Linked DNA regions of Saccharomyces cerevisiae S288C. Changing the gene in region 2 together with the main gene of any one other region gives a genetic interaction. Each region holds a gene or a part of one and is shown on either strand. Other genes may lie near its edges.

What was found. A genetic interaction does not mean that the proteins touch.
Region 1: of CLN3 (region 2) and ULP2, extra expression of one rescues a mutant of the other (dosage rescue), as found in Saccharomyces cerevisiae (2 studies listed by BioGRID, with this or other methods).
Region 3: mutations in CLN3 (region 2) and AKR1 together harm fitness more than expected from each alone (negative genetic interaction), as found in Saccharomyces cerevisiae (2 studies listed by BioGRID).

The regions. Positions count from the first base shown.
Region 1 is NC_001141.2:291,011-296,237, reverse strand, and holds ULP2 (SUMO protease ULP2), read right to left. Parts: upstream 3,606-5,227; coding exon 501-3,605; downstream 1-500. Other genes in the region: E3 ubiquitin-protein ligase SSM4, read left to right, coding at 1-188; cAMP-dependent protein kinase regulatory subunit BCY1, read left to right, coding at 4,569-5,227. UniProt on the Saccharomyces cerevisiae protein: Insertion mutation in SMT4 confers temperature and benomyl sensitivity; high copy suppressor of a temperature sensitive mutation in MIF2.
Region 2 is NC_001133.9:65,277-69,088, reverse strand, and holds CLN3 (cyclin CLN3), read left to right. Parts: upstream 1-1,568; coding exon 1,569-3,311; downstream 3,312-3,812. Other genes in the region: holocytochrome c synthase CYC3, read left to right, coding at 1-373; Rho family guanine nucleotide exchange factor CDC24, read right to left, coding at 3,685-3,812. UniProt on the Saccharomyces cerevisiae protein: Essential for the control of the cell cycle at the G1/S (start) transition. CLN3 may be an upstream activator of the G1 cyclins which directly catalyze start.
Region 3 is NC_001136.10:995,529-1,000,048, forward strand, and holds AKR1 (palmitoyltransferase AKR1), read right to left. Parts: upstream 2,796-4,520; coding exon 501-2,795; downstream 1-500. Other genes in the region: exodeoxyribonuclease DIN7, read right to left, coding at 1-6; PEX10 (ubiquitin-protein ligase peroxin 10), read left to right, coding at 3,336-4,349. UniProt on the Saccharomyces cerevisiae protein: Palmitoyltransferase specific for casein kinase 1. Palmitoylates isoforms YCK1 and YCK2 at both C-terminal cysteine residues, which is required for their proper plasma membrane localization.

The DNA of each region.
Region 1 (5,227 bases), on a different chromosome or scaffold from region 2:
AATCATTCCCAACATGGACAAGGATGCAAGATATTTATTTCGGACTACTGATAGCATTAGAGTCATTTACGTTCTTTTTCCAAGCAACTGTGCTGTTCATTCAATGGTTCAAAAGTACTGTACAGAATGTAAAAGACGAGGTTTACACTAAGGGTAGAGCTTTAGAAAATTTACCAGATGAAAGTTAAAGGCGTTTTCTTCCTTACATTTAAAATGAATGCTAGCATATTTACATATATATATCTACATTAAGTTATATGTTTTTCCACTGTTTTATTTCTTATTGTTAGAATTATAGAAAAAAAATTTTTGTAAAACATTTCATTAGAAAAATTTACCATTCTGAATACGAAAGAACAAAATAAAAAATATGCCTATTTATGTGAGTATGTATATTACTAGTTATTTTATTGCTGTTACTATTATTATGCGAGAATGTTAAAAAAATAAAAATAAAGAGGAAAAGAATAAAAAATATAAAACTATGCGTGCGAGTGCTTTCAAGGGTCTTCATCTTCCAAGAGTATAGGATTATCTCTGCCCTCATCCCAAACAGAATCTTGAGACTGGTTATTTTCATCTCCATAATTAGAGAGAAGTTGTGCATTTGATCCCTTGCTTGTCGCGCTGGTTCTTGGAATACCCCTAGTTGGACTACTAAATGCCACATCATCAATATCAACCAACTTTTCGTTCAGTTCTTTGTCAACATTTTGAAGTATTTTACCAAGACTGTCATTATTACCATTACTTTCCTGAGTGTTGTCATGATTTTTTTCCGCTACATTAGGTAGTGAACTACCAATTAAATTGACGTCCGAGTCATCCCTGTTAACAATACCACTAGTATTTTTACTTTCAGAATTCACTCCTAACCTCGAATCTTGTTCTGTATCTGAAATTACAATGTTGGTATTATTGGGACTAGATTGGCGTTCCATAGAATCAGTCGATAGAGATTGAACATGCGAGGAAAGTTGTGGGATTTTTTTGCTTGGGTAAATCCTTTTAGGTTTAGGCGACGGCATCATAATATCATGGGTGGATGACAGGGCTTGATCGTTTTTTATTGGTGACGAAACGCCTTCAAACTGCTTAGCCCTCGTCTTTAAAGACGGCCTTCCAAAGTATGGTGACGTAAATTCTTCTTGTTCAGTTTCATTCGCACTTTCTGATATGAAAGGAGATGAACTCTTTAAAATATTGTGACGTATGGGAGGAGAAACGGATGCTGTTTCTGGAGAAGCAGCGCGAACGGGATCTTCATTATCAGTTATTATTTCACCGGTGGGCTGTCGTACTACGGAATTATGCAACTCTGTCGGCTCTCTTTCTGTTGTTGAAATACTGGATGATCGTGAGCAGGGAGGTTCCGAGGTTAACTGCGCGTTATTATCTTTACTGCTTTGATCTATATTTTCAATGATTTGAATTTCTTCATCGTCATCGTCGTAATTTTCATTATTGTTGATATTGGTGCTTTTTTTCTCCTCCATTTGCATAACTTCTTCATATAAATTTTCTTTTTTCAGATAGCTGATGTAATTGAGTTGTAAGAGTTTTAGAGTATGCCTTAAATTCTTTCTCGCACTATTTCTTTCATTTTTATCAAAATATTTATTAATCATTTTTGCGGTGAAGTGCTTACTTTTAATCTTAGAATTCTTCCATACATCAATTGTTTCCACCGGATTTTCAAAAAATTTTCTAATATTCAAAATAACATGAACACCACAATCGCTCATATTAGGTTGTTGTGGAACTGGACACGTTTTCATTTTGATTTGTGTTTTATCCAGTTGAATTGAATATTTATCAAGTGCATAGGATATGAGAAATTCTTTTATTGGATCAATTTCTCTTGAATGAGTTTGCCTCAACGAGTCGAAAGTCAAAATATTAACCAGAGGATTATTTATAGAAATCTCATCGGAGTTGATGGCATCGTTTTTATCTTTGTTTTGATGAAAATCCAAGATCGCATCCAAGTTTGTTATAATGCAACTAAACCAATGATAACTTATGTTAATTGGTATAACAACGTACTTTTTAGAAAACAAATCAGTATTGTTAACCCACTTTTTTACATTAGAATAATAATCTGCTGGATTACTAATTAGTTTCGTGTAAAAAAAAGAGGACATTAAGTGAACTTGCTCTCTTTTGATAATTGACTTTTCAATAGATGATTCAATGTAAAATTTTGTAAAAAAATCCAAAATGCTATCATTAACCCAATCCTTATTGAAAAGACACTTGAAATCTTGATTTGTTATAGTATAGCTTGAACCATCGTTGAATTTGTAACAGAGGCTAGGTTTAAACAGTTCTGGTGTTTCAAATTCCGTAGTTGCATCATCAAATTCTGAATTTGAATTTGAGTTTGCTGGATCCGAAACATCTTTAAATCTATTTGAACGTCTTAGTTGTGAAACTGCGTGGGATTGTAAAGTTTCTGTCCCGTTAGTGTTGTAGAAATCTGAGGGTGAAATATTCGATTTTGGAACAGATATTGAATGCTCTTTTTTCCCAAGGCTGGCAATACGAGTCCTTTTTGTTAAGGATTGCAAACCATGAGGTTTGTTTGATAAGAAATGAGTATGAATTTGCGGACTTTCATCATCATTAGTAGAAAGTTTAGTTTTTTTAAGTCTTAAAGAGTCGAATGCATTTTTAGTGGAGTTTATTGCCCTTTCCATGTTCAATGAAGGTGATGACGAAGAAATAGGATGAATCAGATGTTTTAGTCTTTCCAAAATCTGCTCTTTATGATCTAAAATTTCGACTTTTATCGACGAAGAATATGACATCAACAGGAATCTTTTAATAGACTTTATTTTTTTATTTGAAGCGGAGCTTGCAGTGGACCATATCAAGATGTTCGTGTTAATGTTGATTGAAGAGTTATTCACGTCTAGTATCATCTTGACCTTTTTCAGATCTTTTAAAATTATAGCCATAAAAGAGTTCTTCTTATCTAAAATTATCAATTCAACATCATCAAGCAGATTAACTTGTGAATTGTAGATCACCGATTGTTGAAAATACAATGAAAATTTCGGATGATTATGATCTGAGACAAAAGTCATTATGCATGGTGCTTTATGCCGATAAATTCGCAATGTTTTCGAATCAACGCAAGAAAATTGGCCGTTCAAATTTAGTTTAGTGGAAATAATTGAGCCATTTGGAGAAGTGCTCGCTACTGCCGGTTCCGGTGAACCATTCCCCAGATTATTAGACATTTGGAACAAAAGACCATTGGAAGTGCTTTTGAGTGATGAGTGTCTTTTCAAAGGAGAGCTTTGCAAAGGTTCAAAATCTTGATCTGAACAGCCACTGTTGACGCCTTCACCTTCATCATTATTATCAACATCATTATCCGACAATTCGATCTGCCTCTTACTCTCGCTGTTCATACTCAAAACTGGTAAGAAATCCTTTGTAGAAGCATTGTTTAGATGATCAACGATTTTCGGATCCTTACGAAAAGTGTTATATCTTTTGGGCGGTAGAGAAGCAGAGGACCTTGGAGAGCTGGCACGAGAGCTGTTCAAGGTGTCTAGCGGTTTGAGACTATTAAACTTGCGTTTTCTGGCAGACATATATGTGGGGTTTGATGTGCAATAAACATAGATATACGTGTATTATTGCACCTGGGTATGGGGTATACTGTGTAGTGTCCTTTTATCCCGCTCTTTATTTCTCTCTCTAAGAAGAAACGAATACACTGTAATGTAATTGGTTGTGATGTTTTATCTCTCTCTGATGACGTGATATCTTTTATGTTGTTTCACGATGTTCTCTTATTGTATTGTATAATAGTTTCTCTTAGTAGGAAGATAGAAAAAGGACAAAGAAGGCAAAGAACCAAATGTCATTTCTAACGACACGGCACGTGATTACTGATCTGATAATAAATGAAACAAGCCATACGTGAGAAAGTAAAAAAAAAAAGGAGGAGGGAAAAGAATACGAGTGGAAAATATAAAGGACTTTATATACTTTTCAGATTAGCCGCCGACGATTTTACTTACTCAGCTTTTTTCTATCTTTCAAAACGCTCAAAAGAGGAGCATACGACTTCGGCGGCTAATCTTCACCCAAGAAAAAAAAAGCGCATGCCACCACGACGAGCGGAAAAAAACAAAGCACCCAATCACCACCCTTCCTTCTTTCTTCGTGTTATACCCGCCACTTTTGTTCTGCCTGATAATATATTGATTATACTGTGCTCGGATTCCGACCTCTTCTTTGTTGCAGAAGCCATAAGCTGAACTTATTGCATTTGCTCAAGTGCATTTATTATGGCGCCGCGCCGCCGCTCTCCAAAATTCTTGTCCTTCCTCGTTTTGCTGGCAAGGAGCAAAACGAAGAGGAAGGTAGAAAAGAGAAAATTTGAACAAACAGGGAAAAGGGAAAGAGAAAAAGGGACACTTTACGCTTTCCTCGACTAAGTCAAGCGATCGCTATCATCACATCCATTACACGCATTTCACGCATACATAAATAGGAAGATCATTTACAACAAGCAGATTATTTTCAAAAGACAACAGTAAGAATAAACGATGGTATCTTCTTTGCCCAAGGAATCGCAAGCCGAATTGCAACTGTTCCAGAACGAAATCAACGCCGCTAATCCGTCCGACTTTCTTCAGTTCTCCGCCAACTATTTCAATAAAAGGCTGGAACAACAGAGAGCGTTCCTCAAGGCCAGGGAGCCTGAATTTAAGGCAAAGAACATTGTTCTATTTCCGGAACCAGAGGAGTCATTTTCCAGACCTCAATCAGCTCAATCTCAATCAAGATCCAGATCGAGTGTTATGTTCAAATCCCCCTTTGTGAACGAGGACCCACACTCCAACGTGTTTAAAAGTGGGTTTAATTTAGACCCGCACGAACAGGACACTCACCAGCAAGCACAGGAAGAACAACAGCATACTAGAGAAAAGACATCAACTCCTCCACTCCCAATGCACTTCAACGCCCAAAGGCGTACTTCTGTTAGTGGTGAGACCTTACAACCAAACAATTTTGACGATTGGACTCCAGATCACTATAAGGAAAAGTCCGAGCAGCAATTGCAAAGACTGGAAAAATCGATCCGTAATAACTTTCTGTTCAACAAGCTGGATTCCGACTCAAAAAGGCTGGTCATAAATTGTCTGGAGGAGAAGTCCGTCCCCAAAGGTGCTACGATAATCAAGCAAGGTGACCAAGGGGACTA
Region 2 (3,812 bases):
CACAGATGAAAGCCACGTGCAGCCTAAGTTGCTGAAATTCATGGGGAAACCGGGCGTATTGAGCCCTCGTGCTCGCTGGATGCACCTGTGCGGCCTACTGTTTCCGTCCCATTTTAGCCAAGAACTACCATTCGACAGGCACGACTGGATTGTACTCCGAGGCGAGCGCAAAGCGGAACAACAACCTCCAACCTTCAAGGAAGTTAGATACGTCTTGGATTTCTACGGAGGGCCCGACGACGAAAACGGAATGCCTACTTTCCACGTGGATGTCCGTCCTGCCCTAGATAGTCTAGACAATGCTAAGGACCGGATGACCCGTTTCTTGGACCGGATGATCTCGGGTCCGTCCTCTTCGTCCTCCGCCCCTTAAATGATATACAGCCAGCGTAAGTACGTGTAAATAGCCAAGTAAGAAATAATGATGTCCTAGTGCAGCCACAATCAATTTCACTTTTTCATATATATTTTTCCACCTTATTATCACAAGGTGCACCTTTATCGTGTGCCACGGCGGTAAAAAACTACCTTCAGGGGTACGATACATTCTGTGCTGGCGACCACGGGGCTGACAGAGACACCCGTAGAGGCTACATTACTGATTTGGGAAATTTCCCAAATTGGAAATATCACCTCGTCGACGTGCTGCGGTGCATGGCTGTTTTACCCGTTTAGGAAAAAACTCGGCGGGTTTTCTTGACGGGCAAATGTCGCCATTCGTCTCGTTTGAACGCTTGGCCTGTAAAACAGCTAACTCATTCACTATCTCTATCCTGCGACCGTGATGATACCGAAAGTATGCTGATACAGATCGGTCCCTCATATCGCGATAGGGCTTTCTGAGCTCTCCTCCCCCTTCTTCCCTCCCCAGCCAAAGAGGCCGGTTTTCCTTCTGGGGAAGTGTCGCAACCAAACGCTGTGCTCAAACCCTAAATTGTGAACTTTCAAGAAAAAAAAAAAGAAAAAGTGAAAAATTATCAGGCAAGAAAAAGAAATTACCAAGCCTGCTCTCACTGTAATGATCAAGTTACATAAATTTACTATCGGATTAGTGTGTCCCTCTGCCACATTTCCATATTTGGCCTTGGGTTTTTGCCCTCATCTTTTTTTTTTCTTCCTCCTACCTATTTATAATTTGTATATCTGTACTTTCCTCGAGCTTTTAATCTTCTTCTTAAACATTTTCTTGTGTAGTATACTTTCACACAATTTCTTTCTTGATTTTTTCTTCTACTACTGAGTCTGCCAGTCAAATGGATTTCTGAGGAAAGAGGACTATACCCATTAGGAAACGAATTGCCCGAGTAGTCTCCTCTGCCGACTTAAACCAACCTTTTTCTATTTCTCTTTTCTTTTCTCCCTCTTTTTTCTCTGTACTAGCATCCAAAAGCAAGCATCCATCCGAGTCCCAGTCGCAATCTCACATCTCCAATTTAACGTATCCATTGCATTTCCTCATTCGGTTTAACTCCTCTGCATTTCTTTTCTGACCCATAGCATTTCTTACATTCCATTGCATCTCCCTTTTACTCTCGTTCAAGACACTGATTTGATACGCTTTCTGTACGATGGCCATATTGAAGGATACCATAATTAGATACGCTAATGCAAGGTATGCTACCGCTAGTGGCACTTCCACCGCCACTGCCGCCTCTGTCAGCGCTGCCTCATGTCCTAATTTGCCCTTGCTCTTGCAAAAGAGGCGGGCCATTGCTAGTGCAAAGTCTAAAAACCCTAATCTCGTTAAAAGAGAATTGCAAGCACATCACTCAGCGATCAGCGAATACAATAATGATCAATTGGACCACTATTTCCGTCTTTCCCACACAGAAAGGCCGCTGTACAACCTGACTAACTTCAACTCTCAGCCACAAGTTAATCCGAAGATGCGTTTCTTGATCTTTGACTTCATCATGTACTGTCACACAAGACTCAATCTATCGACCTCGACTTTGTTCCTTACTTTCACTATCTTGGACAAGTATTCCTCGCGGTTCATTATCAAGAGTTACAACTACCAGCTCTTGTCCTTGACCGCGCTTTGGATTTCGTCCAAATTTTGGGACTCCAAGAATAGAATGGCCACTTTGAAAGTCTTGCAAAACTTGTGTTGCAATCAATATTCTATAAAGCAATTCACGACTATGGAAATGCATCTTTTCAAATCACTCGATTGGTCCATCTGTCAGTCGGCAACATTCGACTCCTACATCGACATCTTCTTGTTCCAATCTACGTCCCCGTTATCGCCTGGCGTTGTCCTTTCTGCCCCTTTGGAAGCTTTCATTCAACAGAAACTGGCCTTATTAAATAACGCTGCTGGTACTGCTATTAATAAATCGTCCTCTTCTCAAGGCCCCTCTTTGAACATCAACGAGATCAAATTGGGTGCCATTATGTTGTGCGAGTTAGCTTCCTTCAATCTCGAATTATCATTTAAATATGATCGTTCACTAATTGCGCTGGGTGCAATTAACCTCATCAAATTATCTTTGAACTACTATAATTCAAACCTTTGGGAAAATATCAATCTGGCTTTGGAGGAAAACTGCCAAGACCTAGATATTAAATTGTCAGAAATCTCTAATACTTTATTGGATATAGCAATGGACCAAAATTCTTTCCCCTCCAGTTTCAAATCAAAATATTTGAATAGCAATAAGACATCTTTAGCAAAATCTCTCTTAGACGCATTACAAAACTATTGTATTCAATTGAAACTGGAAGAATTCTACCGTTCACAAGAATTGGAAACCATGTACAATACTATCTTTGCTCAGTCCTTTGACAGCGATTCATTGACTTGTGTTTACTCAAATGCTACTACTCCAAAGAGCGCTACGGTTTCATCTGCGGCCACAGACTATTTCTCGGATCACACTCATTTAAGAAGGTTGACCAAAGATAGCATTTCTCCACCATTTGCCTTCACTCCAACCTCATCTTCATCCTCTCCATCTCCATTCAATTCCCCTTACAAGACTTCAAGTTCAATGACGACCCCAGACTCTGCATCACACCATTCACATTCAGGTTCGTTCTCTTCTACCCAAAATTCTTTTAAAAGGTCACTGAGCATCCCACAAAATTCAAGCATCTTTTGGCCAAGCCCACTAACTCCCACCACCCCATCTCTAATGTCAAATAGAAAATTATTACAAAATTTATCTGTGCGTTCAAAAAGATTATTTCCTGTTAGACCCATGGCCACTGCTCACCCATGCTCTGCCCCCACCCAACTGAAAAAGAGATCAACTTCCTCTGTGGATTGTGATTTTAATGATAGTAGCAACCTCAAGAAAACTCGCTGAAACGACAAAAAAAAAATGCATTTAACAACAAATAAATTAAAATTTGCAAAGCAAATACGTTAACATACATTAATGATCTTTTTTTCTTTTTGTTTTCACAGGACTCATTATTTCTTTAAATATACTTATATTACATTTGCATAGAATTACAAAAAAAAAAAAATTATAAAAACGCACAACCTAAAATACGATTACTATCGTTTTTTCTCCTTACTTCCTCTAGTCACATTATACATTTTTTTTCATCCTTCACAGACGTATCTTAATACTAAGTGTGGATCAATATAATGGGTATAGCTTGAACATCTGCCCCTCTCTATCTAATGTTTTTTTCTTGAATTATTTAGTATTTGCTGTATACTAGTTTTATTTATCAATACAGACGAATGTTCAAGAATTTCTCATTGTTTTCCGCCAACATTTCTTTAGCAACATTCCAATCTTCATCGCTACCTAACACAACAAAATCCCCATCTTCGTCCTGATATTTGATCTTGGTGA
Region 3 (4,520 bases), on a different chromosome or scaffold from region 2:
TCCCATTCCTATCGAATAATAATGTTCTTGTTGTTAATTTTGATGATCGTTTTCTCTTACTCGCTAAACAATATCTCTTTCCATATTAAGCCCATAAATATGATTACTTTTCTCGAATTACCACGAACGACATAGAGTGCCACATATCCCTTTTGTGCAACTATTATCCTTTAACGTGTCACGGAACGCGTCAAAATGGTAATATGTAAACAAAGGAAAGTGAAATCAAAACAAAACTAGGGCAGCTTCCAGTAATTTCCCAAAACAAACATATGTATATTATATATATATGTGCTTTGAAATGAATGTTACAAATGTGGCTATCTTCATTTTTTCAGCTAAACATTTATTAACCACCTCATGAGCTTTCCTAATAGTCCTTGATTCAGCCAATCACTTATAAGAAGCACTGCAGCTTGAGGCATAAACTTTTCTATACTCACAGTTGTTTGATAAAAGGCTAAAATATACAGTTTCTCCTAATGAAAACAACAAAATTTTCATACCATATCATTTCCTTGTTCAACATCCTTATTTGGCAATTTGTAAAGCTTAAAATAGTCAACTTCTATCCCGTTGAGCAAAGCTTTAGAGCCCGAAGGAGGATACAAAATTCGCCTCCACAAAGGCGCATTTATATCGCTTGTAAGCCAAAAGTCTTTAACATTTCTTTTCCAACCGTAATTTGTTGGTATTCTTGATGTAATCGAATACACATTATGTCCGGTGCTATCCTTGATGCCAATGGTTTCTTTTATAACCGCTAACCACTGATCCATACCAGTCACCGCGTAACAAACGCCAAAACAAGTGCGTGGTTTCCTTATCGTTGAGCCTGGGACTGGTGCTAGTACAGTATCATTACTCTCCTCACCCGGATCAATCGACGGCGCAAATCCTTCTGGAGTAGTATTGAAGTTTTCATTGAAAGATAACCCATCGGGGCCAATGGACTTACTCTCTTTCATCAAAACATTGAATTCTGTATTGGTCATTCCTTTACATATTTGAAAGGCTTGGACGAAGATCAAACTTGCAACCCAAATAGATTGGAGTAAAGCCCATAATAATATCAGAAAGACAAATCTATCATATATTAATCCCGAACAGAGATCTGAAGCGCCTAGGATGAAACATTTGCCATTTTTCTGGGATGTATCTTCGTGTGCATCTTCAAGTTCATCAAAATATTCCAGGCAAAGTGCAAGAAATGTGAAAATACCACTTTCCATTAATGTAATAAAAAATATAAATGCTTTGTGATTTTTGAGTCCGACATCATTAAAGATCCAAGGGCAGTAATGATCAAATCTTGCAACCACAGCATTGTTTAAGGGCGAAAATTTGCTTCTTAGAGGTTTTCTAATCCAAGTTTCGATACAAAAGTTCTTCGTATCAAATTTACCGATTTCGAGCAAGTTCGAGATTGTTTGTCGCACGTTCTCATGATCAGTTTCTTCTGGCAAACATCCTGGGTCCATAATAACAAGCTGCCCAAAAAGGTAAAATACAGAAACAAGTATTACCAGCATTAGGATGTTAGTATATTGTTCATCAGAAAATGTTCGAGGCATAACTTTGAAAAACCAAACGATAGTCACCCAAAGTAAAGTGCCAAAAAAAACACCGGATAACAAAGGTGACCTTAACAAGGTAACGTTGTGGACACCCATTCGTCCATATGACGGCAGAACGAATTTGTTCAAGCCTTTGTTAGTGGCAATGGCCAATAAAAAAAGGACAATGATTACAAACAAAGGGTTAATATGAGAGAAAAGAGCAAATGCGATTCCTAGAAATAGAAATGGCGTTATGAATGTAACGAGCTTAGCATGTTGACTTTTTTTGAACCATTTTTTAATGGGATAACCATGGTAGTCGAATCCAGAATGTGTTAGAGCCTCTCTAAGTGAGTACACAGTGTTCATTTCTTGAGCAATAGCAAAGCAATCTTTTCCGGTATCCGTTTTTTGGAAAAAATCTGCACCATCTTGAATCAAGTATTTTAGTACATGTGGTTGCCCTTTTACAGTGCCCCAGTGCAGTGGGGTGAATCCTTCTGTATCTGCGATCTTTATGCTGGCACCAAATTTCAACAATTCTGCTACAGTTAGGGAATCTCCCTGGTAAGCAGCCCATAGTAGTGAAGTTCTGCCCTTTGGGTCTCGGCAATCTATATCTAAAAGACCTTTGCTGACAACGTTGAATAAAACGTATAGAACTAGCATTATATTTGAGCTGTTCACAGATAAGTGTAGTAGATTGAAACCTTGGTCATCGGTCATGGTGGGATCAGCTCCATGCTTAAGCAAAAAATCGACAATGTACACGTACCCATACCTTGCAGCCCAATGTAATGGTGTGGCATGCAAAGCACCAGCCCTTGCATTGACATCAGCGCCTTGTGAAACTAGAAAATCCACTACAGAAAGTCTGTTATTAATACTTGCCCAATGCAAACCAGTGATATGTTCCGTAGAGTCACCGTCGTTATTAACTTCGAGCAACTTTCCATGTATCATTTCTTTGACAGTCGCTAGATCACCTCTTTGGCAAGCGGTATGGTAGCGAGTTAACAGAGGATCTTCTTCGGCCTCATCATTATGATTCACCTGCTCGTTCCCGCTTTCCTCTTCATTTCCTGATCGGATAGCCTTTAATGATGCCAACGAAGTAATTTCGTTAGAATCACCCAGACTAATATCTTCCTGTGAGTCGTTATTGCTAGGATCAACCGTTTGCTCTTCATTCGTCAAGGTCGACGCCCGTGGCACATTCTCTAATTCGTTCACCATCAATTAGCTACTCTGAACAAAGAAGTGTTTTTTTATCTAGACGAAACGGAAATGATATATTCTACTTCGTGGTTTGTAATCTACTAATCGACCGTATATATTCCTCGCTTGCACTTGTGTCTGTACATTACTTCGTTTTATAGATCGTTCAATATGAGGGTGTAATAAGAAAGTACGAAACAATGGGCTGGCTTTATCACCCGGAGTGTAGGGTACGGATGTTTGTGATCAGAGTAACCCAATGCTAAAAGTCGTTCGGAGGAATAAGCAGCAAAACGTGAATTGATAATATTATAGGAGCCAAAGTTCTAACAATGATAACGTCTCAACAGCTACATGAGCTGTCCATATGTGCATCTTCTTGCAAGTAATCAGCCGGTTTTATCACAATTTTTACCCACCGTGATAATCTGAGAGGGCGAAGTAGGTATTAGCCGTTTACATTAGAAAAATAAGGTAGTGGTAATAAAGCACACTACACATCGAAGAAAGAAACAGACACTACTACATCGGTGGGGGGTCATACAATAGAGGACCAAAATGAAGAATGATAATAAGTTGCAAAAGGAAGCACTTATGCGACTATCGCAGCTAAGATTTCCATTTGCCGATGCTCCAAGTATAGTACAAGCGCATCAAAAAGATGAACAAATCCAGGGCCTTTTGATTATGAAAGTGACTGAATTGTGCAAATTGATAAAGAGTCAATTGTTTGTTAACTCTTACCCTAAGGAACTGTCCATATTTGCCAAGCTCCTGTATTTGCTCTTTACTACAGGAAGACGTGGTAGAACGTTAGGTGAGGAATATGTTGACTTGACATACACTAATAGGAAGGGTACCAGACTTGCAGGACGGCTCAAAATGATTGTATTCGCTTTCGCTTATCCTTTATGTCCATATTTCATCACCAAACTATACAAGAAAATAATGAAGAACAACAAGGAAAGTAAAATTGAAGATACTGAAAGTGTTGCCGCGTTTTGTAAGGGCCTTTTAGATTTCATTTTAGACGTACACATGACCCTCTTTTATTTCAAAGGAGCTTTTTACAGTATTTCCAAAAGGATTTTTGGTATGAGATATGTTTTTAAACATATATTGTCAAAAAATGAGGCCAATTTTAGAGAAGAGGGCTCACAAAAGTACAAAGTATTAGGTTATATCCTATTAGCTCAAAATGTTATGAAATGGTACCCTGTCCTAACCTCTACGCTCGGGTCCTGGATTTATGGGAGAAAAAGGACCAATGATTCAATTACTAGGTCGTCTGTTGGTCTACAGGAGCGTTCAGAACATGAATCTATAGAAGGCATACCGAAGGAATCGCAGCTGACTCATATAAATTTGTCAGATAAAAACCAATTGCCATTTATTCCAGAAGCCTCGAGAAAATGCATCCTATGTCTCATGAACATGAGTGATCCTAGCTGCGCGCCATGTGGACATCTATTTTGTTGGAGTTGTCTTATGAGCTGGTGTAAAGAGAGGCCAGAATGCCCCTTGTGCAGACAACACTGTCAACCACAGGAAATTCTGGTCCTGCGGCAATAGAGGAACTAATCAATAATTTGACTACTCTTTTAGCATTGTCCACAGGCCTTTTTCAGAAATAACGCAGACGTCTGAGCAGGAGAAGTAAAACGCGAAGGGGAAATAATGCTTTTTAGTCTTGTAATTATATTAATTAATTAAATAAGTTTTTCTTTATCGGAATTTTATTTA